Linked DNA regions of Sus scrofa. The protein of the gene in region 1 interacts with the protein of each later gene in a pairwise test. Links are inferred from orthologs where the notes say so. Each region holds a gene or a part of one and is shown in the gene's direction. Other genes may lie near its edges.

What was found.
Region 2: the proteins of UBE2I (region 1) and TRIM21 interact in a two-hybrid assay, tested with the Homo sapiens proteins (2 studies listed by BioGRID). The two-hybrid records come from large-scale screens. The link is inferred for Sus scrofa from reciprocal best matches to the Homo sapiens genes UBE2I and TRIM21.
Region 3: the proteins of UBE2I (region 1) and SIAH1 interact in a two-hybrid assay, tested with the Homo sapiens proteins (2 studies listed by BioGRID). The link is inferred for Sus scrofa from reciprocal best matches to the Homo sapiens genes UBE2I and SIAH1.
Region 4: the proteins of UBE2I (region 1) and HIPK2 interact in a two-hybrid assay, tested with the Homo sapiens proteins (5 studies listed by BioGRID and IntAct). The link is inferred for Sus scrofa from reciprocal best matches to the Homo sapiens genes UBE2I and HIPK2.
Region 5: the proteins of UBE2I (region 1) and RNF40 interact in a two-hybrid assay, tested with the Homo sapiens proteins (2 studies listed by BioGRID). The two-hybrid records come from large-scale screens. The link is inferred for Sus scrofa from reciprocal best matches to the Homo sapiens genes UBE2I and RNF40.
Region 6: the proteins of UBE2I (region 1) and SIAH2 interact in a two-hybrid assay, tested with the Homo sapiens proteins (3 studies listed by BioGRID and IntAct). The link is inferred for Sus scrofa from reciprocal best matches to the Homo sapiens genes UBE2I and SIAH2.
Region 7: the proteins of UBE2I (region 1) and ZBED1 interact in a two-hybrid assay, tested with the Homo sapiens proteins (4 studies listed by BioGRID and IntAct). The link is inferred for Sus scrofa from reciprocal best matches to the Homo sapiens genes UBE2I and ZBED1.

What each region holds. Positions count from the first base shown.
Region 1 is NC_010445.4:40,566,142-40,570,271, reverse strand, and holds the start of UBE2I (SUMO-conjugating enzyme UBC9), read left to right. Parts: upstream 1-1,330; 5' UTR 1,331-1,450; intron 1,451-4,130. UniProt on the Homo sapiens protein: Accepts the ubiquitin-like proteins SUMO1, SUMO2, SUMO3, SUMO4 and SUMO1P1/SUMO5 from the UBLE1A-UBLE1B E1 complex and catalyzes their covalent attachment to other proteins with the help of an E3 ligase such as RANBP2, CBX4 and ZNF451.
Region 2 is NC_010451.4:5,780,894-5,784,932, forward strand, and holds the start of TRIM21 (E3 ubiquitin-protein ligase TRIM21), read left to right. Parts: upstream 1-1,239; 5' UTR 1,240-1,386; intron 1,387-1,413; exon of another isoform or gene 1,414-1,620; intron 1,621-2,382; 5' UTR 2,383-2,428; coding exon 2,429-2,836; intron 2,837-3,339; coding exon 3,340-3,435; intron 3,436-4,039. UniProt on the Homo sapiens protein: E3 ubiquitin-protein ligase whose activity is dependent on E2 enzymes, UBE2D1, UBE2D2, UBE2E1 and UBE2E2.
Region 3 is NC_010448.4:36,359,366-36,363,359, forward strand, and holds the start of SIAH1 (E3 ubiquitin-protein ligase SIAH1), read left to right. Parts: upstream 1-1,194; 5' UTR 1,195-1,877; coding exon 1,878-1,968; intron 1,969-3,477; exon of another isoform or gene 3,478-3,540; coding exon of another isoform or gene 3,541-3,625; intron 3,626-3,994. UniProt on the Homo sapiens protein: E3 ubiquitin-protein ligase that mediates ubiquitination and subsequent proteasomal degradation of target proteins.
Region 4 is NC_010460.4:10,080,968-10,084,467, forward strand, and holds part of HIPK2 (homeodomain-interacting protein kinase 2), read left to right. Parts: intron 1-1,549; coding exon 1,550-1,673; intron 1,674-1,953; coding exon 1,954-2,073; intron 2,074-3,500.
Region 5 is NC_010445.4:17,633,191-17,637,456, reverse strand, and holds the start of RNF40 (E3 ubiquitin-protein ligase BRE1B), read left to right. Parts: upstream 1-1,466; 5' UTR 1,467-1,598; intron 1,599-1,707; 5' UTR 1,708-1,778; coding exon 1,779-1,910; intron 1,911-2,295; coding exon 2,296-2,463; intron 2,464-2,597; coding exon 2,598-2,739; intron 2,740-4,266. Other genes in the region: CCDC189 (coiled-coil domain-containing protein 189), read right to left, coding at 68-133, 462-493, 796-1,011.
Region 6 is NC_010455.5:90,968,739-90,972,800, reverse strand, and holds the start of SIAH2 (E3 ubiquitin-protein ligase SIAH2), read left to right. Parts: upstream 1-1,262; 5' UTR 1,263-1,713; coding exon 1,714-2,130; intron 2,131-4,062. UniProt on the Homo sapiens protein: E3 ubiquitin-protein ligase that mediates ubiquitination and subsequent proteasomal degradation of target proteins.
Region 7 is NW_018085344.1:633,006-636,940, reverse strand, and holds the start of ZBED1 (zinc finger BED domain-containing protein 1), read left to right. Parts: upstream 1-1,135; 5' UTR 1,136-1,209; coding exon of another isoform or gene 1,210-1,318; intron 1,319-1,546; exon of another isoform or gene 1,547-1,764; intron 1,765-3,935. Other genes in the region: dehydrogenase/reductase SDR family member on chromosome X, read left to right, coding at 1,210-1,318.

The sequences.
Region 1 (4,130 bases):
GGGAGGTCCCTTCCTGGGGTCGTCAGACTGGAAGACGTAGGTCTCCTCTTCTGCCAGTAGGCAGGACCTGACGGGGACTGGCCTCGGGGCCTTACCTTATTCCGGAGCTTTAACTAGTCTTGCTTGGGAGTTGGTCCGTCTCTCCACCGAGTCCGGTTGGGGTTCGGCCATTGGGAGGACTGGAGCACCGCCACGAAGGAGGACCCGAAATACCGTCGGGTGGAGCACCGCCTCGTTCGCCTCCGGAGCTCCCCAGCCTTCCTGCAGCTTCACCGCAGCCCCGGTGGCTCAAAGGGCCAGAACGGTTGGGGTCTCGCTGGGGCCTCCAGAAATGTTACAGCTCCACGTGCAGCACCGACCAGCGAGAAACCAAGCGACACTGGGAGAGGAGGAGAATTTAGCTCTCATACCCGGCCGGCCTGGGGAAGATTGCTCTCCAGAACCCAGGCCCCGAACAGGGGTGCTACAGGCTTTTACAGGCCAGTTCTTCTGGGTCCACGCTTGGAGGGGTGGACCGGAGTGGGAACTGGAGGAGCCGGCGGCAGGGAATGTTCCAGCTTTAGGTGTGGGTCTGTTAGTGGTCACATGATCATGGGGGGGCGCTGAGCAAGCGGGGCTTACAGAAGCAGAACTTGCAGTTGGAGAGGTTTTCCATTAGTAATGTCAGGTTTTCCCTTTCATTCCCCCAGGGCCAGCCCTGGGTTAGGGAGCGTCCGCTCTTCTCCTCCCATCGGTCGGGCAGCCACGCTACCTTTTGTACGGGGTCAGCTCATTGGGCAGATTCGGCAGACGCCCCGCCCTGAGCCCCGAACTGGCCAATTGCAAGGAGTTTCACGGCCTGCCGCGCGCGAGGGGTTGTCACCGTGCTGCGACGCTTCGGGGATCCCTAGGCCTCAATGATCTTTGCTCCCCGGCCCCGGGCCCTAGCCCCAAGGAGACCTCCAGGACCCGTGCCCGGGGAGGTGCCCGCGGGGCATCCGGGGGGCCCTTGGAGATCTCGGCCTCCTGGTTGCCCCGCCGCACGCCGGCGTGTCCTCGGATAGACGCGGGCCCCGCGAAGGGGAGTTTGCAGACGCTCCCTCACATAAGGGACGCGGCTCCTTTAAGGGCACAGGTGTCCAGGGCGCCGCCTGACTGGAAAGCCGCCCCCGGGGCTGGGCTCCCAGGCCTGGCCCGGGGCGCGGGCGCCCGGCGGCGGGGCACGGGCGGCGGGCGGCGCACAGCGACGTGGACGGCGCGGGGCGTGCGGCGGCAGCGGCGGGGCGCGGGGCAGGCGCGCGGCGGGCAGACTCCGCAGGCCCCGCCCCGCCCCGCCCGCGCCGGGGTCCTCGAGCGCTCGGGCTGCGCGCGGAGCGGGCTCGGGAGGGAAGTCCCGAGACAAAGGAGCGCCGCCGCCGCCGCCGCCGCCGCCGCCTCGTCCGCCTCACTCGCCGGGCCGCGGCCGCCCGAGGTGAGCGCGGCGAGACGGGCGGGCCGGGGACCGGGCCTTGTCGGGCTGGGGCCTCCGCCGCCGTCGGGCCCGGCCAGGCGGGCTCCCTCCACCCGCGGCCCGGCCGGGCCCGCTCCCGGGAACCGGCCTGCCCCGGTGTGTTGACGCCGCGGCGTGGGCCGGCCCGCTGGGCTCCGCGGCCCCAGACGGCGGGGGCGTCCACTCGGGCGCGCGCTCGGGGCGGGTCGCATCGCGGCCGGGCCGCAGACGGCGCCCGCCGCTCGGGCTGCGCTGACAGGAGCGCGAGCGGGCGCCGAGCCCTCCGCCGAGGCGGAGCGTTTCCGGGGTCACGGTCTGCGCGCGAACCTGTGGCGTGTGCCAGCCCTGGAGACGACGCATCGCACAAAGAGCGCAAAGCCTCGCGCTGCGGCAGCGCCGGCCCGTTTGGGGGTGGTGTGTGGTGTCTGTAAATCAAAACAAGTCCGAGTTCTTGCGCCTCCGGAGCCTCGGCCGCAGTTGGTGGGACCCTGGGCACCCGCGCTTCCTTTGACGGGGAATTTTCCTCCTGGGACTGCTTTGTACCAAGTGCACGGAGGCTGGAAGTGGTAGTTGAGCCAGGAGCAGGAAGGCCAGAGAATGATTAGCTGGGCTCGCGGTAACGGCCTGCACCTGCCTCTCAATCACAGAATTCACTGGTTTGGTTTGTGTGGTTTGAAAACAAGCTTAGTTCCTCGGGTTGCAAAGTTGTTGTTCTGTGTTTGCAGAGTTGGTGCCCTTTCCAGACCCCTAACCTCAAACGTTTCTTGCTACTAAGGAAAACTTTTTGGGTTGGAAGTCTTCCCACCAGAAGAGGGGAGTGGATCCCAAGTTTTCCCTGACTTGCTCATGGCCCGCCGGGTGGTTTAGGGGGTGAACTCTGCATCTTGTTGCGATAGTCTTGCTCGGGATTTGGGGCCTGGCTGCAGAAACGGGCAAGAACAGGGCGTGCACCTGGGCTGGAGAGTCTCCCGAGTGCAGGGTGCCTGCATCAGGTGAAGCAAATGCCTTCCCCCTGGGAAGCTGATGTTTGGGTGGGAAGGGCCCATCCTGGGCTGCTGATCCTTGCTCACTTTCACCCTGGGCCAACCCGTGAGTTCACAGTGCTGTGGCTTATCGCACAGCTGAGAAGGCTGAGGCTGGGAGAGAGAAGCATCTCGCCCGCATGTGCAGCCAGTTAGTGGCTCTGCAGGCTTTGCTGTCAAATCGCAGCGTGTGATCTAAGAAGAGGGGATTCAGGCACAGCTCACTCTGGAGGAAGGTGGCGTGGAGACTTCCAGAATCTGCCTGGACATCCCAGCTGCTGTCCTGCAGGCTAGCGGTTCGTGGGTATTTCATCCTTGCATCCTAACAATGTCCATCTCTGGAGTGTCTGCTAACATTCAGCTGCTTCGGGTGACTCTTGGTTGGGGAAGGCAGATTTAATTTTAAGTGGGATTCTGAAGGAGTAGCTCCCCTTGTCATTAAAATGTAACAAATTGGGTGCTTTCTCCCGGATAAGGGAAGGCCAGGCCTCTCTGCCTGGGCCTGTGGCTCTTCACCCTTTTGTTGCCTGGTCTGGTCCCCTGGCACCCCTGAGGAAGGGGAGGCAGGAGTTCCTGTGGGACCCCCCCCATTACCTTTGGCGCAGCCACAGCTGGGCTCTGGGACAGCCTGCAGAGGCAACTTTGTCCCTTGTCAGCAGAAGAGGTGGCCTGTGGCCGGGTGCTGGCGCACGGTCAGCAGGCAGGCAGCACTCAGGATGGCCCCCCTGGCCTGGTCTGCATCCTGGACAAGCCGTGACCCCTGCCCTCCTCCCCGAGCAGCCTCAGTTGCCCATTTAGTATCCATGGCTCCTCAGTGTCCACAGTGGTGCCCTGGGCCTTCATGACCCATGGTCAGCGCCTGGCCAGGTGCAGACTCACGGGGAGCAGCCGCTTGCTGGACTCCTGCCTCCGTTAATTCAGACGTGTCCGCCTGCTGCCGCCTTTGCCCTGGCTGCCCAGGGGCTGCAGAGACCCTCCAGATTCCTCAAGCCCTGCGGGAGGGGCAGCCCCACTAGCTGCTGGAGTGGGTGGGGCAGGGTTCTGTTTAGAAGTGAAGGGTTGGGGAGTTCCCGTCCCGGCTCAGAGGTTAACAAACCCGACTAGTATCCCGGAGGATGCAGGTTCGGTCCCCGGCCCGGCTCAGTGGGTTAAGGAGCTGGCGTTGCTGAGCTGTGGTGTCGGCCAGCGGCTACAGCTCCAATTTAACCCCTAGCTTGGGAACCTCCATATGCCACAGGTGCAGCTCTAAAAAAAGACCAAAAAAAGTGAAGGGTTGGAGGCAGTCAAGGGAAGGAAAGCTTTTCAGACTCGGGGTCACTGCCCCCGCCTCCCTTGGGCGGTCCCTGGCCCTCGCAGCCAGTGACCCTCCTGGCTCTTCTTTCTGTTCCTGGTGAGCCCGCCTGGAACAGTCCCTTGCATTGCTGCAGCTTGTGCCCACGCGGGCACCTGACCCTGTAGGACCGGGTGCCTCCCTGCCATCGTCCTGCTTCCTGTGTCCTGGCACCTAGCACTTCCCAGCACACGTCTTCCTCCTGCGTGGGCCTTCTGCACAGCCACAACTCTGTCTCTCCTCAGTTTGTGTTGTGTGAACAGACAGATCCCAGGCGGGGAGTTCCCATTGTGGCTCAGTGGTAACAAAC
Region 2 (4,039 bases), on another chromosome or scaffold:
GACAATAACTCAACTGCTAAGTCGCTGCGTGGCTTAAAGCAAACAACCTGACACAGCAGTATTAACCCTAACCCTAACCAGTAGGCGGAAGCCACCCACCCCAAGCATCCGTCGACAGATAACCGGATAATCAAAATGAATACTCAGACGCTGGAATATCGCTCAGCCTTAAAAGGAAGGCAGTCCTGTCACCGGCTCCGGTGGATGAACCTTGAGGATCTCAGGTTATGTGAAATACACCAGTCACAAAGGGACAAATACGGTAGGATGCCACTTACGTAAGGCACCGAAAACGTCAAACTCACAGAGACAGAGAACAGAATGGTGGTTGCCAGGGGCTGAGGGGAGGGAGGAATGGGAAACTATTGTTTAATGGGGGCAGAGTTCACGTTTCGCAAGATCAAAGTTCTGTGTGTGGATAGTGTGACGGTCATACAATAATGTGAATGCATTTAATGCCACGCAACTAGACACTTACAAATGGCTAAGATGGTGAATGCTATGTGTATTTTGCTGCAAATTTTAAAATTGATAATAATAAACCTGAGAAAACCCCTAGCTCAGTGAGAAGTTTACAGTTGGTGCTCAATAAATGTCAGGCCCCTTCGTCCCACTCCCTGGTGTGATACCCACCTTGGAGAAATGCAGGAAAAAAATCCCTCTCTCCCCAATGTTAATTACCGCATCTCCTAAAAAGAATTTTTTCCTGAAGTAGGAGAGAGAAACTGGCCTTTTTTTTTTTTTTTTTTTTTTTTTTGCTTTTCAGGAACACACTTGTGGCATATGGAGGTTCCCAGGCTAGGGATCAAATAAGAGCTACAGGGGACGGCCTTCAACCACAGCCACAGCCACACCAGATCCCAGCGGCGCCTGAAACCTACACCACCGCTCACCGAAAGGTCAGATCCTTAACGCACTGAGCGAGGCCAGGGATGGAACCCACATCCTCATGGATCCTAGTCGGGTTGGTTAACCACTGAGCCATGAAGGGAACTCCCTAGAGACGGTGGCCTTTGTGGGAGAGCTCCCCCGAGCTCCTTCGGTCACCCCAAACTCCTTAAGGCAGCTCTGGGTGGCACGGTACGGAGGCTGGGGCTAAGCACCCGAGTCAAAGAGAGCAGCCTCTCCACGGAGCAGTCACACTACTTGAGGCCACTAGACAGAGAGACTTGGAAAGGAGCGCAAAGCAAGGACTGGATGCTGCGGAGCCTCTGAGCCATCCTAGCCCCGGGGCGCTGACACTGGCCGAAGCTCAACGCGCCCGCCTCCCGCCTTCCGCCTCCGCCCCTTCCCTCCCCTTCCTTTCAGACTTGCGCTCGACGGGAAATGCGGGAAATCGAAAGTGAAACTTGGAGCCAGCTATTATCTGCGGAGTCCCTTGAAAAGGTGAGTGGATTCACGAACTCGGTTAGACCCGGGTACCCCAGGCCTCCCCGGGGGACCGCTCTCCGCTGCCCCGGATCTGAAGAGCCCCTTGCAGCCGAGCTCTCTGCTGCCCCAGAGCCCTCTTGGGCGCAGGGTTCCCTCGACCCTAACCGGCGGTTTTCCCCGTGCTGCCGTCCGCCCGGGAGGAGGCTGGGCTGTGAACCGACTTCCAAGTCCTCCGGAGCCCAGGGCGGGGTAGGCCTGCCATCCCCGAGACGCCCATCCACAAAAGTCCCCTCTGGAAACGACAGGGGCAGGGTTGCTTAGGGTATTAGAAGTTTTGGGGTCTGTGCCCTGGAGGAAACAAAGACAGGTGCCTGCTTCAGGAAGCTGAGGGAACAGGTGGGGGAGTGCTCTTTAGACATGTGTGGGTGTGTGGGTGTGTCTGTGTGTGTGTACACACATAGGTATGTACACCTGCACATATGGATAAATATGTGCACGTGCAGATGTGTGTGTATATATATACTTATTTATATGTTCATATTGTGGGTGATAGATAGCTCCTTCCTGCCAAGTTTCAGGGATTAATGAGGAGGAATGTGAAGTATGTGCCTCCCGGCACGGGGGAAGGGGCATGGTAAGTGGTCGCTGCTATTAGGATTAGCTTCTCAGCAGAGCAAGAGGACCAGTGGCTGGAGATGGAAGATGGACGAGTAAGCCTGGGCGCCGAGGGTTTCAGCAGAGATAGACATGAAAGTGGAACTGTAAGCAGCTTGATCTCAGATTCCCAGCAATTTTTGCTATCTCTTTTGAGGACTCAGTTTCCCCTTCTGTCTGACTGGCTCATTGGACCAGACTCCGGAGGAGAAGCCCTTGTGACTCAGGTTGACGTCGTTGTTACCTTTGTTTTCAGCCCCTCCAGTTCACGCTCCCTCGAGGTCTCCTTTGAATTGTTCTGTTTTCCTCACACAGCTCTTCTCATCGCCTTCTTTCCTTTTCTCCCCTCCCCGCTAGGCCACCCCGAGATCTCCTCAGCGCTGCTTCATAGCCCGGCAGCACCATGGCCTCAGCACTGCCCTTGGCAAGGATGTGGGATGAGGTCACGTGCTCCATCTGCCTGGATCCCATGGTGGAGCCCGTGAGCATCGAATGTGGCCACAGCTTCTGCCAGGAATGCATCTCCGAGGTTGGGAAGGATGGGGGCAGCGTCTGTCCTGTGTGCCGGCAGCACTTCCTGCTCAGGAACCTCCGGCCCAATCGGCAGGTGGCCAACATGGTGGATAACCTCAAAGAGATGAGCCAGGGGGTCAAGGAAGGCCCGCAGTGGGAGCTGTGTGCGGTGCACGGAGAGAAGCTTCACCTGTTCTGTAAGGACGATGGGAAGGTCCTTTGCTGGGTGTGTTCCCAGTCCCGGAAACACCGGGACCACACCATGGTCCCCATTGAGGAGGCGGCTCAGGAGTACCAGGTGAGGCCTTAGCCCGGAGGCACCTGGGCACGAGCAGGCGGGAAGAAGGTGGGGCCCTGATAAGCGCTTTGTTCTCCCGGGCTGGGGGTGGGACCGAGTCACCTGTGGAGTTGAGGGGTTGGGGACAGGAAGGGGATCCCCTGCCTTCTATGTCCTATTTAAGGGAAGACCCACCATCTCGGCACGATTTTCCCACTGCCCAGGAGCAGGGCGTCTGTTGTGGGAAAAGGCTGCAAGGCCCATGCTTCTGTGTGGCCTCCTGGTTAATTAGGAACGAATGTGTCCCCACCCCCACCACGCCAACAGGGTACCTCTATTTCCTAAGAAACATCAGGCTTTTTCCAGAGTCTTCCCATCACAGAATGCCCACCCCGGTCAGAGGCTCACCCTTCCTCCTCCCCGCCTCAGGCTTTTCTAAGGACCAGTAGGATCCTCCTGGACCTTGTGCCCCCCCACCCTACTTTTTGGTCTGACTGGGCATTACCCGCTGTCTTTCTCTGCAGGAGAAGCTCCAGGTGGCACTCGAGAAACTCAGAAATAAACAGGAGCAGGCTGAGAAGCTGGAAGCGGATATTGCAACGAAGAGAGCAGCCTGGAAGGCAAGGGGCACGTCCTGAAGGGCACTTTAGATCAGAAGCCTGGGGAGGGTCCAGGGTCCTGGCCTCGAGAGCTCTGTGCATAGCTATGCCCGTCAGGAGACTGGGAGTCCCCATGTGTCAGTCTCCAAAAACCAGCCGTGCCCTGGGTCTCCTGAGAGAAGGGAGCAGGAAAGCACGGTGCCCAAAAGGCGGGCACTCCAGTCAGACGCAAAGACAGGGGGTCTTGGGGAGAATGCACGGGGACAAGACGGACCCCAAAGCTCCTGTTCCTGGAGCCCGGTCTCAGGCGATGACAGCACAGGGCCCGTGTCTGCAACAGAGGAGTCCCAGGAAGGAATGCCCGGTGGCTCGGCCTGTCGGGACATGACAAGGGCTCTGAGGACAGACTTAAGGAGCCATCAAGGCCTGAGGGAGGAAAACCAGCCTGACCAGGGGTTTCTTGACGGCGTGCTGTTCCTGGTGCAAGGTGTCGCGGGAGCTACGGCCTGTTCTGCTCCAGGGCTTGGGCAGCAGTGGGTCAGGAACTAGAGACAGTGGGAGGAGCTCATGGACCCGGGAAGGGTGAGTCAGGCTGTGGCGGCAAGAGAGGTCATCTCGTGTCATC
Region 3 (3,994 bases), on another chromosome or scaffold:
GTTCTGATTTTACAGTTGAGTAGGTGGTGAAAGCTGGGTTTGAATCCCAGTGTAGATGACTCCGGAACTCTTCCATTTTTACTGTCGTGACTGACTTACTGAGAAATGTGTCCATAGATTAATGGTTTTCAGACAGTGTTGTAAGCTTCAATACAGGTCCTTTGGAAGTTGGAGGAAAAAAACTTTTTAGTTTGAGGAATTTGTCATCCTTTTTACTTGTTTTACAAATTTGGACTCTGTCTTCATACTGTTTGGAAAGAGTTTTTCTGCCTAAAACATTTAAAAGTCTTCTACTTTAGAAACCCAACACCTAGCTAGAGTGAATATGTATTAAAAAATAAAGACATTGGTAATAATAATTTAGATTTGTCCGTGGACAGATTATATTTTCAGTTATGTTTCAGTTCCTAATGATGTTTTGTCTAATATCAAAATGAGACTGAGGTGACTGAATACTATTAATAGGATGGGGAAGTGATTTGAATTAAAATTTTATGCTGAAAATGGACAATCTACAATTTACACAGGGTTCACTCTCCACTACAAGCTCTTGCTCCCTTTAAAGGCTGCCCTAAGCGTGATGTAATGACAGGTTAAACCTCTGAATGCTGGAGCTGACGCAATGAGAATCTGAGGCCCAGGACTTTATTGGGACAAGGGTAATGCTTGTTTAAAAACAAAACAAGCTATTTTGTTTAATGAGGGCGTTTAAGATGGCTTTCCCAGAGTGGGAAGAGAATAAAATCTCAATTTGGACGTTGAAGTAGAAGTTTAATATGGTTATGTGTTTACGACTCTCACTGCGACGGCTTCTCGAATCGAGAAAGGAAGTTTGAAATAAGGTGCTGACGGCGGTAAAAATGGAGAAGTGAGTTAGAATTGAGGAAATAAGGTAGTTGACATCTGATAAATAGTTAATGAAGTAGACAAATGCTTTTGCTATATAAAAATCCGGAGTTTGCACGGTTAACTGGCAGAGTATAGAGCAGAGAAGAGTGCTTGTCTGGCCACGTATTTTCCATATATTCTATGTAGCGCTATGAAACCACCCCAAATTGCGATATCCGACTGTTTGGGCCTACTGAAACGGAGTGTTTCCACCTCACGTAAGCCGGTGGAAAAGCTGAGGCGTGCGGTATGTCTCCGGGGATCGCGAGGTTCTGCGGAGCTGGGTAGCTGTGTGGGAGTTGCGCGCTGCATGCTCGGGATTCTTGCCAGAGCCGTGCAGGAGCGACTGCGAGCCCTGGAGCCGCCCTAGGCCGAGTGGGGCGGAGCTTGCAGCCCCGCCTCCATGCGCCGGCCCGCCCCTCTCCTGCCGCGGCAGCCACCGCCCTGAGTGCTTTGAGCCTTCGGCCGGCTGGCAATCTGCGTTGGAGCAGGCTCTCCCAGCGGCAGCCCGGCCCAGGCCTCCAAATGGCTCTCCCCGCGGGCCGGACCCTGCAGCGGTAGCTCCAGAGCTGGGACTGAGAGCTGCACCGCTTCGTCCAGTCGCTGCTGCGCACTCTCCAGCCCTGTCCTTCACCGAGCTGGCCAGAGCCTAGCCGATGAATTTGGGAAGACAAACTTGGGAGACAGACGAAGGTTTAGGGCCCAGCAGAGGACAGCTCAGCAATGGCTCCCATTTTTGGAGACGCAGGCGAATTTGAGCTCATGGGGAGGTGTGGTCGACTCCTCTCGGGGCGGGAGGGTGCTTCATTTCTCTGCCGCTGTAGCCGGTGCTTCTGAGGAGTGAATGGAGTGTATGGGGCATGGCACGTGCCTTCCTGTCTTGAAAAGTTGACCCTGGACAAATTTAGGAACGGAAGGTGTCCAGTAGGGCCCTCTGTTACAAATAGTCTCTATTCGTGGGGGAAAGGCTATGAGCTGCCTGGCTTCTCATGACCGGGAAGTCTCCCTTACCTTTTCTGTACTCCTGGAGGGGCGTCTTGCTCACTTGTTTACCAGCATCCGGGACAAGGAAGAGAAAAGGTATTACTGTTAAGAGACTGGGTTGCTTAAATTGTGAATTGGGCAAGTTGTTATAAGCTGGTGGAATTTGAATGGATCAGGGAATGGCTGCAGCGTAATTGAGCTGGAGATGTTTCTTTTGAGCAGCTCTACTTTTCTCAGTTTAAAACAAACTTCAGGTTATGCAATGACTCCTCCAGGGTTGTCCAGACACTTGAATCCTTGATTCCTACTGCAGGTCTGCTGTGTTCTTAGGATTCCTTTTCTGTTTGAAGATGGAGCTGGGTTCCATCTTCTGAGCTTTGGGAGGTTTTAGCAGCTGCTGTCCTGTAATACTTTCATTCATAAGAATTACAAGCTACATTTTGCTTGCTTTTCACACTTTGAATAGGAATTTAAATCGTGCTTTTTCTACAGTGTTTGGAAAAATAATAAATATGTGTTATATCATAAGTCTGAACTATTGATGATAAATGTGTAACTATTTTCCTAGGTCAAGAAATTAAACAGTAATGCTTTGCTTGCTTAGTAGTTATATTATGTTGAATACAAACTGAGTTTACTGCCTCCTGACGCGATTTGTTGTTTTGGCGTAGTGAATTGAAAGGCATTGGTGGCTTAGATCATTTTGTGCTGAAGGAACCACTTCCCAGTTACTACGTTGCTCTCTTAAAATAAGCAGCATAAAATGGACTATGAAGTAAGCATACAGCACACATACAGGGCATTTTGGTAATGCTAAGCCCATTGTTCTGCTAGTGACCTAAAATAAAATGCATAGATCATCATATGCACAAAAAAATCTCCTGGGGAAAACTGGATTACAGGAGAGTTCCTTTATATTGGTCTAGAACACCTGGGTTACACAGGGCTTCAGATGGTAAGAATTGATTCCTGTTGTCTTAAATCCTTGTGATGGGCCACATTATGATAGAATCCTGTGGTACTTTTGTTTCTCCTTGAACTTTAGTCCTTTAGTGACAGTGATCTTTCCGATAGAATAATTACAGTTAGGGAAAATATGAAATCTGAAGAGTTAAATTTTAGTTTGATAGAAATATGGCTTAGGGTTCTTGGGAATATACTCTTAAGGACGTCCGTAGACTGATCTTTTGTCATCCCCAAGAAAATGGCCTACCGTATCCCAGCAAAGGTAGATTCCTGGGAAAAGCTGCTAGTTTATCTTTCATTCACCCTGACACATAGTTAACATTGTTGATCATTTCTTCCAGATGGCATTTATTTCATAAATAGTGTTTATTGGTGTGCTGATGAATGCTTCAGCAACACTGGTGAACTTTAGGGTACGAGGCATTCTTTACCTGTTGACTCTATCCCTCACCTCCACTGTTGTGTGAGTCTCTCTGGTGCTTTTGATCTTTATTTTCTTGACTCTCCTTCACCTTTGCAAATTATACTGGTTTATATTGTAGAATGGAAGTAGAATGATTTACTGTGTCTAAATACTGGACTCAGAACTTTTATGAGAGGATGGCCCTCCATTTCTCTTCTACTTTCTCACTTTTGAAGGGGGCATGGATCAGTAGGAAACAAGATTAATTCCTAGCTGGTGTTAACTTTCCATGAAGATGGATGATGAAGAGGAGGTGGATGGTGGGATGGCAGCAGACCCTTCCCCTTGTCGCCCCTTTCATTCCCCAAATTACTCCTAGAGCAGGTAACCGTTCATCATTAGGAGGAATTAATCAAAGTCAGTACCCTGGTGATCCTTTGGATCACATGTAACTCCCTGGAGCACATGTAACAGCTGACTCAGAATGAGTAGGGGAGGTGGGGGAGAAAGTCCAGTCAAAACTGATTTTATTGCACTTAAGCTCCTTCTTGTTTATGGTCCAGTTTCTATTTTAGCATTTATTCCACGTAGTCCATCCAAGTATGATTTTTAACATTTTTTTTTTTTATTTTTTTTTATTTTTTTGTCTTTTTGTCTGTTGTTGTTGTTGTTGCTATTTCTTGGGCCGCTCCCGCGGCATATGGAGGTTCCCAGGCCAGGGGTTGAATCGGAGCTGTAGCCACCGGCCTACAC
Region 4 (3,500 bases), on another chromosome or scaffold:
CCAGATGCCAGGCAGAACACTGGCAACGGAAGATGCCCCACAGCGGGGGGACGGCGACAGGGAAGACCCATTAAACAGCCCTGAGGCCACTCGCACCCCACCTTCTGCAGCACCTCGGAAGCCTGGGAAGACCCAGCCCTGGGCTTCAGGACAAGTGCTCGCTGCCCAGAACGTGACTGTGGTTCCCTAGAAGCACCCGGCAGCTGTGCTGACGCTCCAGCTCCAAGTGGAGAAACGCCTTTTTACATCGGAAAAATCAGAAGACTTTGAAACAAGACATTCTGGCATCCTGGCGGATGGATGGGGGTGTGGGGTTTGTCTTGTTTTTTTCAATACCACTCTGCAGAGAAAAAAAGATGGGCAGCGAGAGCCAATTTAAAGCAGCAGCTGGGGTGATGCTTTGGAAGCAGGGGGAACTTCAGCTAAGAGCCCCAAGCCCTTCCGTCCCTCCTCGTATGCTAGATGAGCCAAGATAACCCAGATGGAGAAAAGTCCCCCGGCTCCCTGCACCCCCACTCCAGGCCGCTGAAAGGGTAGGAGAATAGTTTCTTCCTGCATCGCTGAATCAAGGAGGCAGTTCATAGAGAAAACCGGAGTGGGGCCGGTGCGTTTCTGTATCAGCAGAGTGCTTCGAGCCTCATTTTTTTAAAAAGCATTTACTGCATCCCTAGCCCTGCTCGGTGGGTTAAGAATCTGGTGTTGCCTCGACCTTTGAAGCGTGGTTTTCTCCAAAATGTAACCCTAGCTAATCATGACCAGTTCCTAGAAAAGGAGAACTCTGTGACCTCCGGTTTTGATTACCAACCACATGCGACATTTTCCCTTTGAGTTTAGGTGATTTCCTTCAGAAATTCCAGCATGTAACCTGGTTTATCATGTGAAGGAACAGAATTTCTATGGTTGGGAAAGAGCTTAGCATGGAATTCTGACTGATACCCAAAGTATGTGTCAGGAATAGGGTTCTGTCATTGTAATAGAGACCTTTTTAGGTTGACTTCTTAGAAGCTCCTAAAAAAAATAGTATTTCCTTGGGAAAGGGCGATGCAAATTCCTAAGGGAGGGTTTGTTGGCATGACCGGTTATTGGCTTTAATTCTCTTCTGGCGGAGGACGCTTGTTTTATGTATTATTGAAAATCGAATACCTGTCCTTCAGAATTCCTTTCCAAAAACGAGGCATTGTCTAGAGATTGGTTCCCAGGTTTTCAGCTACAAAAGAGAACTGCGCTCCATGAAGTGGTATTCGCTCACCTGGCTGGCATGTCATGGTGATGAGATCAAGAGATGTGGTTCCCTCTGGGTCTGTTCTAGAGCCACAGACCAACCCTTTATCTCAGCCAACCATCCAGCCAGGCTCCCTGCTGTTGGGAGGACCAGGCCAAAGGATGCAGGGACTGTGGCAACCCGGCGTGAGAATGACAGGCCCTCGAAGGGGTCAGGCGTGGTACCCCAGGCTTGAAAGCTTGGATTTTCTGTGGAATTCCCATACACATAGCTGCCCACATTTCCGCATCGCTCATGATTTTTTTTTTTTCCATTCTTCCTTTTCAGGGCCCCTGAGATCATCCTTGGTTTACCATTTTGTGAGGCAATTGATATGTGGTCCCTGGGCTGTGTCATAGCGGAGCTGTTCCTGGGCTGGCCGCTGTATCCAGGGGCTTCAGAGTACGATCAGGTGGGTCCACACGGCACCGGTATTGGCGCAGGCCCTGTCCACATCAGCACCTCGCTCCCGACCTGGCGGATGGATGGGAGTGTGGGGTATTTTCCCGTCTCCCCAGCCTTGCAGCCCTTCGCCTTGCTTCCCTTTATCCGCCTTTCTTTTCCCTTTTCCTCTGATGGCTCCTCTCCATCCTTAGAAAAGTGTCATTTTTCTCAGAGGCACTAGAGCCATTCGTCCACCCCGTGTGTGGTGACAGGAAAAGCCCTGACTTCATTCTCCTCTTTTCTTGCAGATTCGGTATATTTCACAAACACAGGGTTTGCCAGCAGAATATTTATTAAGCGCAGGGACAAAGACAACTCGGTTTTTCAACCGTGACACCGACTCGCCCTATCCTTTGTGGCGGCTGAAGGTAGGTAGGAGACTCTCCCTTGGATTCGGCCACGGGGCGGATGCATTCGAATGCTCAGGAGCCCCGCTTGGCCGGCCCTGCTGCCTTTGGCCTTCTGCCTCTGAGGGCGCACCTCCCAAGATCTGGTGGGTTCCGAGCCGGAAACATGAACCATCCCCTCGCCCTGAAGGAGCTGCCAGTCCAGAGGGAGGCCGAACCCGTGCAGCCAGCCCAGCCCCCTTCCCGTGACCCGCGTCCTGTTCCCAGCAGGAGCGCAGGAGGGTGGGAGCCCGGAGGAGGGCGCCTTTAACCCGAGGTGACAGAGGGTCAGGAGGAGCCTTGGAGGGGGCCCTAAAGGATGAAGAGGGCCTTCCAGGCAGAGGAAACAGCCTTAGCTGCATCTGAAGGCTCCCGGGAGGGGGTCCCCCAGCGGGCAGGTGGTGTGGCCGCCCCATTGCACACCGTAAACCCCGTGGTTTGACTCTAACGGAAACATTTTTTGCTTTCACTTTGATCTGTGCCTCGTAATTAAAATTAACTTTTTTTTTTTCCTGGGAAGGAGAAAATAATGCAGATCTTAAGGGTGTTTTATATTCATTTTAGGTGCTTCCTTTTTTTGCAAGGATGTGGGTGGGTGGTTTTTTTGTTTTGTTTTTTTGTTTTGTTTTGTTTTTTTGACTGAAACCACAGCCAAACTATAATACATTTAAAGATAATATGTAGCCAGTGGTTGCAAAAGAGTTAGGAAAAGAGATTCAAAAGCTAAGCAAGCATCTTAGACTGTTGACCGGAGGCTGGCCTTTGGCATCTGTGAGGGTGAGTTTGATAAATTAAATTTAAAAATCAAACCATGCAGAAAAGGGCTTCTGCTCTTCCACCTGTGGAATCTGACCTTATCCCTTGAACTTGGGGAAGAAAGTCAGCTTAGCGGGGATATGGCATATCTTGCTCATCTGGGGACCCTCCAGACCAGACTCAGAGCTGTTCACGGGAAGGAAAGAAGAAGGATGAGTGAGTTAGTGTGGAGCACAACGAGAGAAAGTAAGTAGGATGCAGGAGTTCCCGTCGTGGCTCAGTGGTTAACGAATCCAACTAGGAACCATGAGGTTGCGGGTTCGATCCCTGGCCTTGCTCAGTGGGTTGAGGATCCTGTGTTGCCATGAGCTGTGGTGTAGGTCGCAGATGCGGCTCAGATCTGGCGTTGCTGTGGCTGTGGTGTAGGCCAGCAGCTACAGCTCCGATTCGACCCCTAGCCTGGGAACCTCCATGTGCCGCGGGGAAGGCCCTAGAAAAAGGCAAAAAGACAAAAAAAAAAAAAAAAAAAAAAAAAAAAAGAAAGAAAGAAAAGAAAAGAAAGTAAGTAGGATGCAGGTCACTCAAGTCTCTTCCAAAAGGTGGGCAAGTCTTTTGCTTCTTTCCTGTTGGGAGAGGCAGACGCTGTAGGGTTT
Region 5 (4,266 bases), about 23 Mb from region 1:
CCTTCCCAGCCCACTGCCTCAGCCTTCTCCAAGAGCCAGTTCTTCCTGTCCCTACTCCCCGCCATACTCCCTCATCTCCTCCACGTTGGTTGTCTTCTCCAGCCTCTGCATGGAATGGATGTCGAGGTACTTCCTATCATAGGAAAAGAGGGGAAAAGGTGTTGGCCATTATGCATTAGTCTTAGGACAAGGCTATGATGGCTAGAGCGTAGGACTGGGAAGCAAGAGACCTGAGTTAAGAGGTTTGGCTCTTCCACTAACTCGCTGTGTAACTTTATAACAAAGTCACTGAGGCAGCGGGAGACCTGGCTTATAGTCATCTTGGGTAATTGTATCTCTGGGCCTCAGTCTCCTTGTCTGTAAAATGGGAATTCCGTCCTGTTTGACAGGCTCGTAAGGAAGCGCTAAAGGAATAATACAAGTGTGAAGGGTAACTTTCCCTCAAAGCTCTTCACACTCACCATATGCAGATCCGGGGCTGGGGTAGCGGCGGCTGCGGGAGAGAAAGCGGATTGGGAAAGGCAGAGCTGCGTTGTTAGTCCTGGCCCGTGGTTCTTTGCCCTTGGTGAATCTCTGGTGGTCTAACAACGCGATACCTTGCCTTCTCATCTTAAAAACTGTGTACTAGCAATACCGGCGGGCTGGGCTTCGGCGATCCCTAAGTACTATTCATGAGCGTATTGACAAGCAGTTCAAGCCTGCCTCTTCACCAAGGCAGCCCGGGAAACAAACGGCCCCCTGCCTGGGAGCCCTTTTATAAACATTCATGAGCAGACCACTCTGACCTGTCCTCACCGGGAACAAGTTGGCTGCAGGATCTTCATTCGCATCCACTGAGGCCACGGTCCCTGACTCGGTCCGCACTCCTGTTCCCATCCTCTTGGCCGATTCATCCAACGAGCTGAGGTCCTTCTCATGGTCTTTCTCATGTTCTCGCCGCAGTTCGGAGTGCTGGTCCAGCTCCGACCGCCTTTTCAGTCGCCGGAATTGGCTGGATTTCCGGCGGATCATCTGGTCGCTCCTCTGTGTCGCGGGTCCCCACCGTCTTTATCCTGCCTCGGTTCTGGGACAGCCGATCTCGGGCGGCGACTGCCAAGGCCTGGCCCTTATCGACGCTTCAGCCAATCTACGCTGCAGAGAGGCCGGGTACAGCCAATCGGCTGGGGGCGTCCCTCCGTCTCAACGGTGACGGTTGCTAAGGAGGATCCAGTAGGAAGGGAGAAAGTGTACCGTGCTCGCCAAACTGTGAGAAGAGAATGCGCATGCATAATAAGATGCAAACCCCGCCCCGGTGCCCTCTCTTCGAAGTTGTTAATCTGAGGCAGGCGGCGTTATTAGGACTGCGGAGTGGAAGTGTGTTGTCAGTTACCATGGCAACTGCCTACCGGCCAATCACTGAGAGAAAGAGGAGGTGTTCAGAAAGAAACCAAACGGACGCAAGAGGAGGAACAAAGCACAACCAATAGAAACAGGAACTGGAGAAGATTTCGCCACATCCGGCGCTGCCTCTGGCGCCTGCGCTCTGTGCTGGGGGGCGGGGGTGCCCAGTGACGTCCGGTGAAGTCCAAGATGGCGGCGCTAGGCTGATCCTGCTGCTGGTGAGGGGCCCGGGGCCGGCGGGGCGGGGTCCGGCAGCTGTGTGCGGGGGTAGGCTCGTGGCTGCGGACCTCCGTCCCCTTCCCCAGCTCTACTCTCTGTCTTCTGCAGGTGACGGAAGTGCCGAGTCCGCCTGCCTGACGTCCTCGAGAGACCGGGGGCCGCTCCTCGCCGCCGCGGCCATGTCTGGGCCCGGCAACAAACGCGCCGCCGGCGATGGGGGCTCGGGGCCCCCAGAGAAGAAGCTGAACCGCGAGGAGAAGACAACAACAACGCTTATAGAGCCCATTCGTCTTGGGGGCATCTCTTCCACGGTTCGTGGGCTCCTGCCCCAGCCCGCCCAACTTCCCAGAACCGTTTTCCCAGTTCCCCAAGTTTAACCAGATCCACTTTACAGAGCATTCTGTTGAAGGAAACCTAGGACATGACGTCTGCCTTCCCCTCGCAGATAGGCAAACAGGTTCCCAGAGAGCGTGTGACAGACATGTCAGACTTCAGGTAGAAAGAGGCAGGAGCAGAACGTGACGCTCCTTACAAACAAGACGCTTCCTCCGTGGGTGTCTGAGCTTTGTATGTCCTGTTAGCAGTCTGCTCCCCTCTCACATCCGTTCTATCTGCTTTCCTTTGTCTCTTTCTCTGATTGGTTTCTTGGGCCCTTCTTGACCCTCTCTCTCCTCGGCCCCTCTGTTTCCTTGGTAGGAGGAGATGGACCTGAAGGTTCTGCAGTTCAAGAACAAGAAACTAGCAGAGCGATTGGAACAGAGACAGGCTTGTGAAGATGAACTCCGAGAACGAATTGAGAAACTGGAGAAGAGGCAGGCTACAGATGATGCCACACTCCTCATTGTCAATCGCTACTGGGCCCAGGTGAATGCCCCTCTCCTTTACAAGACTGGGCTTTGATCCAGCTGCCAGTTCTCAGACTTCTCTGTTAGAAAGGGAGTATCATGCTAGGAAGCACCTGAGGGATTCCTAACATTTTTGGTGCTTTCTCCTTTCAGCTGGATGAAACTGTGGAAGCCCTTCTCCGACACCATGAGAGCCAGGGGGAGCTGTCTTCAGGGCCAGAGGCGCCTGGGACCCAGGAAGGGCCAACGCGTGATGAGACCCCTCTCACAGAGCCAGGAACATCGGAGCTGAGGGGTAGGGCCAGAACCCTAGGATCTAGGAAGCTTAATTAAGTTCTGGGAAAGGTCCTGGAGAGGAAAGGATCTTGATAATCAGGCTGCTGAATTCCCTGCCTATACAAACACACACACACACAATTGATTTTATATTTGGGCAGCAAATCACAGTGGATAAGAACAGAGACTTTGGAATCTGAATGACTTGGTTAAGAGTACAATTCAGGTTTTATTTATTTATTTTTTTTGTCTTTTTGTCTTTTTGTTGTTGTTGTTGCTATTTCTTGGGCCACTCCCGCGGCATATGGAGGTTCCCAGGCTAGGGGTTGAATCGGAGCTGTAGCCACCGGCCTACGCCAGAGCCACAGCAACGCGGGATCCGAGCCGCATCTGCAACCTCCACCACAGCTCACGGCAACGCCGGATCGTTAACCCACTGAGCAAGGGCAGGGACCGAACCCGCAACCTCATGGTTCCTAGTCGGATTCGTTAACCACTGCGCCACGACGGGAACTCCCAATTCAGGTTTTAAAAGTATTACATGTATTTGTATTATGACTGTGTACTTGGCACTGGTGTAGATTTGGAGGAGACAAAGATAGTTAAAAAAAAAAAAATTACTGGGAGTTCCCTGGTGGCTCAGTGGGTTAAGGATTGGCACTGTCACTGTGTGGATGAGTTCGAATCCTGGCCTGGGAACTTTTGCATGCCGTGGGTGTGGCTGGGAAAAAAAAAAAAAGGAAAAGAAACACTGTCTTAGCTATTAGGGTGAAAGTGACTGTAAACCACACACACACATAAAAGCAGAAGGGCTCCTGAATGGGAATTGGTATGTGTGCACTAATTTATTTATTTATTTATTTATTTTTGTCTTTTGTCTTTTTTGTTGTTGTTGTTATTGTTGCTATTTCTTGGGCCGCTCCCACGGCATATGGAGGTTCCCAGGCTAGGGGTTGAATCGGAGCTGTAGCCACCAGCCTATGCCAGAGCCACAGCAACGCGGGATCCGAGCCGTGTCTGCAACCTACACCACAGCTCACGGCAATGCCGGATCATTAACCCACTGAGCAAGGGCAGGGACCGAACCCGCAACCTCATGGTTCCTAGTCGGATTCGTTAACCACTGTGCCACGACGGGAACTCCTTTTTTTGTGTGTGTGTATGTGTGCACTAATTTAGTTTGGGAAGGCAGAGAAGGCATTTCTGAGGAAATGTTTGGAAGCTCTCCGTCCTTGAGGAAATTACCTCCTGGAACCTCAGTCGTTGCCTTTTTTTTTTTTTTTTTTTTTTATTTTTTTATTTTTAGGGCCACACCCACGGCACATGGAGGTTTCCAGGCTAGGGGTCCAATTGGAGCTATAGCAACGCCAGATCCACGCGGCATCTGCGACCTACACCACAGCTCACGGCAATGCCGGATCCTTAGCCCACTGAGCGAGGCCAGGTATCAAACCCTCAACCTTATGGTTCCTATATGGTTCCTAGTTGGATTCATTTCCGCTGCGCCATGATGGGAACTCCAGTTGTTGCCTTTTTAAGATGGGAT
Region 6 (4,062 bases), on another chromosome or scaffold:
GGTGATTTTTTTTTTTTTTCGTTGCACCCTTGCATCCTTTATGCTATGCCAGGGACTGAGTCCGAGCTGCAGCTGCGACCTAGGATGCAGCAGGACAATACAGGATCCTTTAACCCACTGCCCCACCGGGACCAAACATACACCTCCCCAGCCACGGGAGCCACTGCAGTGGAATTCTTAACCCAGTGTGCCACTGCAGGGACTCCTAGAGAGGTACTGTTTTTATTCCACTTTTTCAAATAAGGAAATTGAGACGCAGAGAAATAAAGAACTTGTCCAAAGTCACACAGATGGTAAGCGGAGGACACCGCTCTTCACCCAGGCCTGACTGTTGTTCCTTACCACTGTCTCTCCTGCAAGGAATCGCCTGATTCCCAGCTACGTAGCCCCTTCCCCCAGTTCCAAGGTCAGGGGCTCGAAGTAAGCAGAAAAGCAATTTAACTCAGTACACATTAACTCGTGGTTCCCTCCAGGCTACCACCCTTCTCTAAGGCTTCGGCTTGGCGTGCAAAACGAGTACCCACATCTTGCATCAAAGTTGTGCACTTCTGACGGGTCTCAAAGATGAGGCTGTGTTGTATTGGAGGGGGTCACCCACTGTCGTCGCGTGTTTCAAGACCCAAGCCACATTTCTGGCACTCCTAGAATCTGGCAATCTCGAACTCTCTTTTTAGCAAACACTGACCACGAACTGCCTCCCGGGCCTGCCAGCAAGTCAGATGCTTTGAATTCAACGAAGGCTTCGGCAGGTCAGATGACAACAGGAATAGTTTACCTCCTCCCCGCCTTAGGCAGCAGGACCAAGAAGTGGTTCAAACACATCCTTAAGCGCCCAGCGCTAGATCCTGCGCCGCTGCAGACCTGATCCAAGCCCCTCGTCCTGCTCCATGCCTAAAGCTCCGTGTCTCGACCCAGAGCTCCATCCTAAGTGCCAGGTTGGCGGCGCCGCACGCCTTCTCAGCTCTCTGCTGACTCAACCCGGGAAAGCGTAACTAACCTCTCGTTTTTTTCCGACCAGTCCAAGGACGCCCGCGTCCCGCCCCGCCCACCACTCAAGCCCCAGCCCCGCCTAAAGTTGCCCTTCTGGTTTGCGCCCGCGGGACGCGTCAGCGTGTCTCCCCGGGGTGTGGCTAAAGGACTTCAGCGACGCCTTTCTGAAGGGCGGCCCCCTCCGCAACCCGGAAAGGCAGATCCCGCGCGGCGGCGGCGGCGAGTCGGGCATGCTCACTGGCGCGGGCCGGGCCGGCAGCCCTGGCAGGAAGCGCCCGCGCTAGGCGGCCCCCGGCGCTGCCAGCTGGAGTCGGGCGGAGCCGGCGCCCCAGCGCAGGGTGGCTCCGCCAGTCCCCGCGCGCCTGGGCGGCCTCACACGTGTCCAGGCGTCACGTCCGCGCGCGCCCCCGGGGCTTGCGTCAGCTGCTGCTCCGGTAGCGGGTGGGCCGAGGTTCTGCGTACAGCTCGGCTTTGGGGCCACGACGCCGCGGGGAGGAGGAGTCTGGGGGTGCGGAGGGGAGTTCGGAGCTCCCGGGGCCGCAGAGATCGTCGGCGTGGTCCAGTCCCCCGCCTGCCCGGCGCCGACTGTCTTCACTGCTTGGTCCTGGGCTGGGCGCGGTGGCGTTGCCCCGGAGCCCGCCGCCCGCGGGGCGCGCACCGCCTTGACCCCGGCGGCCCCGCGGCAGGCAGGCGCCCGCAGTTCCATGGTTGGTTCAGAGCGCGATGAGCCGCCCGTCCTCCACCGGCCCCAGCGCTAACAAACCCTGCAACAAGCAGCCGCCGCCGCAGCCCCAGCACGCTCCGTCCCCGGCTGCGCCCCCGGCCGCCGCCACCATCTCGGCTGCGGGCCCCGGCTCGTCCGCGGTGCCCGCCGCGGCGGCGGTGATCTCGGGCCCCGGAGGCGGCGGCGGGGCTGGCCCGGTGTCCCCGCAGCACCACGAGCTGACCTCGCTCTTTGAGTGCCCGGTCTGCTTTGACTATGTCTTGCCCCCAATCCTGCAGTGCCAGGCCGGGCACCTGGTGTGTAACCAATGCCGCCAGAAGTTGAGCTGCTGCCCGACGTGCAGGGGCGCCCTGACGCCCAGCATCAGGAACCTGGCTATGGAGAAGGTGGCCTCGGCAGTCCTGTTTCCCTGCAAGGTAAGCTCAGGTGCCAGCTGCGCACTTTTCCCGGCGACCTGAAACTCCCTTATCCTCCAAACCACTCGCAGGCGCTGGGAGGCAGGCGGCATCTCTCTTATTTTAACAACAACAACAACAAAAGTTTACACCTTGTCCACCCTCCCCCATGCCCACCTGTCCACTTTGGGAGTAGCTTTGGGGTGACAGCTGCCCGATCACTGACCCCAGCCTAACTGGCACGCGATCGCTGTTCGAACACATCACAGCTCTCCCACCGGGAGCCTGCGTACTCTGCAGACGTGTACTTGGGTGTGCTTGGTAGAGCTGGGCCGCTCAAGTAAAACTTGGATCGGGAAGCTGACCATCTGTGAGGGATTGAAGAAGGGGAAAAGGGTAAACTAAACGCACCCTTTACCAGCACTGGCCTTGGAAGGAGTGGTACTAGATTCCTCCTGCATGGTTTTGCGCACCCCTGACACATGGGAGCCTTTTGCACACCCCTGACACGTGGGAGCCCTCCGGAATGAGGCTAAAAAAAGGGTACCTATAGCCTGTTTTCCTCCAACAATAAGAAAACCCTCTAAGCCATGCCTTTCCCTCTCCTAGCCTTCAGAGTTTTGTGTTTTGTTTTGTTTTTTACTAAGGGGTGAAAACAAGAGTTGATCAGGAATTTAACAGGAAGGGCATTCAGGAGCTGTTACAGTTCTTTAAAGAACATTGGTTTATTTTTTATTCAGTTTAAAAAGTTATCCATGCTCTTGAAAAAAAAAAAGAAAAAGCCAACTACTAAGACAAGAAAAAACAAGTGAAAGACCAAGACCTCTCACCTCCTCTCCCACCAGTGTCAGGTTTAGTGTGCATCTTCATAGGCTTTTTCTAACCATATATAAATATACTCTCCGCAGCTGAATATAGAACCCTAGAACCCTAGATGTCAGTGTGGGAAGGTTTATATATGCACACACAGACATAAGTGTTTCTCCAAAAATGGCTTCTTCAACTTGCTGTCTTAACTTCATATCATCGTGTTTTTCTATGTCTGAAACATAGCTCTACCTCACTGTATTTTAGAGGCTGTATAATACAGCATTGTGTGGTCATATGGTAATGTCTTGTTACTTAAAAATCTTCAGGAGCCATTTCAGAGAAATACCTATCTATATTACCTCATTATAATGTAGAATGTTGACCATAAAGTTCTTCTTCTAAACTTAATGTCGTTAATACTTTTGAGGGTTTGTTTGTTTGTTTGTAAAAGTGAGCACTCTGCCTCTTGGGCCATTTAGGCTGTATTGCGTTTCTCCTTGGTGCTGCTTACTTTTATAGGACAAGAGCTTATTTTTAAATTAAAAATAATCCACTAGAGAACTGAAGGCTGGGACTTAAGTCAGTAAAATGAGTGATTTAATTTGGTCTGTGCCCTGCCACAAGTCAAGTTTAAAATAGCATACTCAAATAAGGGTCTGAATCCATGTTTGGGGTTTTTCATCAGCCTTAATAAATTATTCTGCTTTCAACCACTCCTCATGTAATGCTTACTAATTCCCCAGTCTAGTAGTAGTTTGTCATGAAATTTAGACAAAATAGTTGTAGAATTTTCTTAGGGTCATGAAAACGTGGGAACCTAGTGATCATGAGAAGATTTGGTGATAGGTGACATAAGAGGTTTGAATTTGAGGTTTGAACTATATTGTAGGGGCTGGGTGAGGAGGTGGGGGATGCCCCACAGGGTTTCTGGGGAGCCATCTTCTCCACCCTTCACTTTCCCCTGAACCTTCAGTGGCCAAGAGAAGAAATGCCTTTAGATGAATTACAGTTCACAAAAGAGCATTTGATTCAGCTATCCCTAATATTTTTATTTTTTTTATTTTTTGCTTTTTAGGGCCGCACCTGCCACATATGGAAGTTCCCAGGCTGGAGGTCAAATCAGAACTGCAGTTGCCGGCCTAC
Region 7 (3,935 bases), on another chromosome or scaffold:
GGTCTCTGGCGCAGGGGTGGCCTGCAGTCCCGGTGGGGTCCCTGGACCAGGGGTCTGTAGTCCCAGGGTGGATCTGAGTGATGGTCCTGGGGTCTGTGCGGGGGCTCAAGGTGAGGGCGGGGCTTCCCTGGGTCTCCTGTCAGCACAGGGGCACATGATCTGGGTGGGGGGGGTCCATAGTTCTGTGTCCTGGGGTCCAGGAGGGGGAACCCTGGGGTCTGGGGTCAGGTGGGATCCCAGGATCCAGGCAGGAGTCATGGTCCGGGCTGGGTCCTTGGGTCTGGTGGGGCACTGACAGACAAGCAGGGGTCCCTGGGGTCTGCAGTTTAGGTGGGGGTCTGGGAAGGGGGTCTCTGGGGTCCATGGTCCTGGAGGGGGTCTGGGGTCCCGGGTCAGGCAGAGTTGGAGGGGGGTTCCCTGGCATCCACAGTTTGGGTGAGGGTCTGGGGGGATCCCTGGGGGTCTGTGGTCCTAGTGGGGGTCTGGGGTCCCGGGTCAGCCAGGGTTCAGGTTCAGAGCAGGACCCCCTGGGGTCCGCAGTTTGGATGGGGTTCCGGGGTCGGGAGTGGAGGTGGGGGATCCCTGGGGTCCGTGGTCCTGGAGGGGGCTCTGGGGGGGGTCTCTGGGGTCTGGGGTCCTGGTCAGCCGGGCTCCAGGGTCTGAGCGGGGGCTCCTGTGGTCCTCAGTTTGGGTGGGGGTCGGGGGTCTGGGGGGGGTCCCTGGGGTCCATGATCCTGGAGGGAGTCTGGGGGTCCCGGGTCAGGCGGGGTCAGGGGTCAGAGCGGGCGTCCCTGGGGTCCGCAGTTTGGGTGGGGGTCGGGAGGCTGGGGTCCCAGGGGTCTGTGGTCCTGGTGGGGGTCTGGGGTCCCGGTCAGGGAAGCTACGGGGTCCGAGCGGGGGCTCCTGGGGTCCTCGGTTTGGGTGGGGGTCTGGGGTCTGGGGGGGGTCCCTGGGGTCCATGATCCTGGAGGGAGTCTGGGGGTCCCGGGTCAGGCGGGGTCAGGGGTCAGAGCGGGCGTCCTTGGGGTCTGCAGTTTGGGTGGGGGGCCGGGGTCGCGGGTCAGGCGGGGGCGGGGGTCGGCGCGGGGCCGGCGGGCTGGCGGGCGGGCGCGCGGGCGCGGGGGGCGGGCCGCTGCGGGCGCGTTTCCGCCGTCCGGCCGGGCGAGCGCCGAGTCCCGCGGGCGGCGCGGAAGCGGCGGCCGGGCAGCCATGTCGCCTTTGTCTGCGGCGCGGGCGGCCCTGCGGGTCTACGCGGCGGGCGCGGCGGTGATCCTGGCGCAGCTGCTGCGCCGCTGCCGCGGGGGCTTCGCGGAGCCAGGTCAGCGGCCGGGGGCGGGCGGGCGGGGTCGGGGCGCGGGGCCGGCGGGTGGCTCGCGGCGGCGGCGGCGGCGGCGATGGCGGCGGCGGCTCCGGGCCCGGGCGGTGCGTCCCCCGCGGGGCGCAGCCCCCGAGGCGGGGGCAGAGCGGGGGAGGGGCGCGCCCGGGCCCCGCGTGCCCTTGACCGCGGCCTGGGCCCGTGCGCGGCGCCGGGCGCTCCCGGAAGCAGGGCCGGGCGGCCGCGGGGGTGGAGGGCGGGTCGCCCCGCCCGCCGCTCCTCCCCGCGCGCCCGAGGCCGGGGTCTCCCTGCGGTGTCGCGCGCCCCGACCCACCCAGCCGGGCCGGGCCAGGGTCCTCGGGGTCCCCAGGGTCCCGCGCGCCTGCCCCGCAGCTCCCCGCCCGGAGGGAGGAGGGCGCGCCGAGAGCCCGGCCTCCGCGCAGGGTCAGGTAGGACGGGCTCCGGGGGGCGTGCGGGGCCCGGGGGGGCCTCGGGGGCAGGGCCCTTCGCTTCAGGGGCACCTTGCTTCTGCGGCCTTAGCGACCTGCGCCCGCGGCGTCTGCGACCCCGAACTTTCCGGTGTCGGGACCGGTTCGCGCTCCGAGCGCTGCTGGGGGGCCCGCGAGGCGCTGTGTGGCCGGGGCCGCGTCGGCTCCCGTTGGCGCGCCTGGGACTTCAGCCGCAGACCCGGAGCGTTCCTGTCTGCCCTGATTTGCAAAGGAAGCAGGATAACGCCAGGCTCTGCGAGCATACGTGGCTTTTTATTTTTAGATGAACAGTAACTCCTTCCCAAACAGAGGGGTCGGTGGGGAGTGCGGTGCTGTGTTACTTTGTGGCCGCCTTTGGCGTGTGGCCTAAGGTGAGAAATCCTCGGAGGTCCGCTTCTGTTTCCACGCGGTTGGCACCGCCCGCCGCCTGTCTCTGGCACACACCCCTGGGCACCCCTGAGAGACTGGGGTGCAAACAGGCCAAGTGCATCTGACTGTGGCTGTGAAAAATACTTTAAATCCCTCCACCGCCCCACGCATGGGGGTGCCTGCGGCCCCACTTTGCAAACCTGCAGCTCTGCGCCCCACAGATAATTTTTTTTGGCGCCCCACCCTCCCCGTGGGGTGGAGACTTAGGGAACTCTTCCAGGTGTGCATGTGACAGAAGCGTTTCGTTTTACTGTCAACCTGATTTCTCATTCTTTCTTTCTTTTTTTTTAAACGCTTTGAGAGCGATTAGAATGGAATAGAGCGAGTCCCCGCTGTGGCGCATCGGGATTGTGGCGTCTCACGGGGAGGCAGGTTCGATCCCCAGCCTGGCACAGTGGGTTAAGGGGTCTGGCGCTGCTGCAGCTTTGGCCGTGGTCCCCGAGATCGGATCCCCGGCCTCCATATGCTGCCGGGTGGCCAAAAAAAAGAAAAAGGTATTTATTTTGGAGTTCCTGTTCTGGCTTAGCAGGTTCATTGCTGGAGGTTTCAGATATTTCTGTGAGAATCGGGTTCCATCTCTGGCACAGCTCAGTGGGTTAAGGATCCGACGTGGCCCTGAGCTGCAGCTGCAGCTCGGATCCGAGCCATAGCCTGGGAATGTCCATAGGCTGCCGGTGCAGTAGTAAAAAGAAAAACACACTTGAATTGAGAGTAAGGAGCCAGCCAGTACCTGGGGTTTGGGGCGGGGGCGGGGGGATGGGGGGTACAGGCAGAGGACACCTTTTAAATCAGGCCTGGCCTGTAAATAGTAAACAACGTTGGAAAGCTGTCCCAAGTGGCCCCCATTGACCCAAAGGGTGGCACCCCCCCGCCCCACGGGACAAGGTAGGCGGCTGGCTGTGCAGCTTTGCTCCCCCTGCGTGCCTCGCGCCCCTTCGGGGCAGGCTCTTCACCTGCTCAGGGACCTGGCAAGTGGAGGGTGGAATTGGAGCTTGCCACACCCCATTCCCCAGAAGGCCCGTCTCAAAAACGTGTTTGTGGTGCATCCAAACCAGGCCTTGCCTTGTTGTTTCCACCTGTTGATTTAGAAAAAGAGCAGAAAAGCCTGTAACCGGACCCACTGGGGACCAAGCGGTGTGTGGGCGGAGTGAAGCCTTCCTCCTGCTGGAGCAGAGGGTCAGCTCCGTTTAAGAGGAACTGGACGAGCTCTGCAAGCCACGTGGTCTGTTGGGTTAGAAATCCTTGCAGAGCTGGGGGGAGCCAGGCACGTGTGTCCTGAGTGTCTGGTGGTGGCCCTTGTCCCACATGTCACAGTCCTTCTGCTTTTTGACCTTTTTTTTTTTGCTAACTGGACGTAACTTTTGGCAAGGAGACATTGAACGTTGCCCCAGGTGGAGCTGAGCAGTAGCAGGCCCAGTCCACATGAAGCATAGCTGGGGGTTGTTTGGTTTTGTTTTAAACCTCAGAGGTTTTCTGGAGTTCCTCTTGTGGCTCGGTGGGTTAAGACTCCGACTAGGATCCATGAGGACGCGGGTTCTGTCCCTGGCCTCGATCTGTGGGTTAAGGATCCGGCGTTGCCACGAGCTGTGGGGTAGGTCACAGGTGCTGCTCGGATCTGGTGTGGCTGCGGCGAAGGGGCCGACAGCTGTAGCTCCCGTTCAACCCCTAGCCCTGGGACTTCCATATGCTGCAGGTGCGGCTCT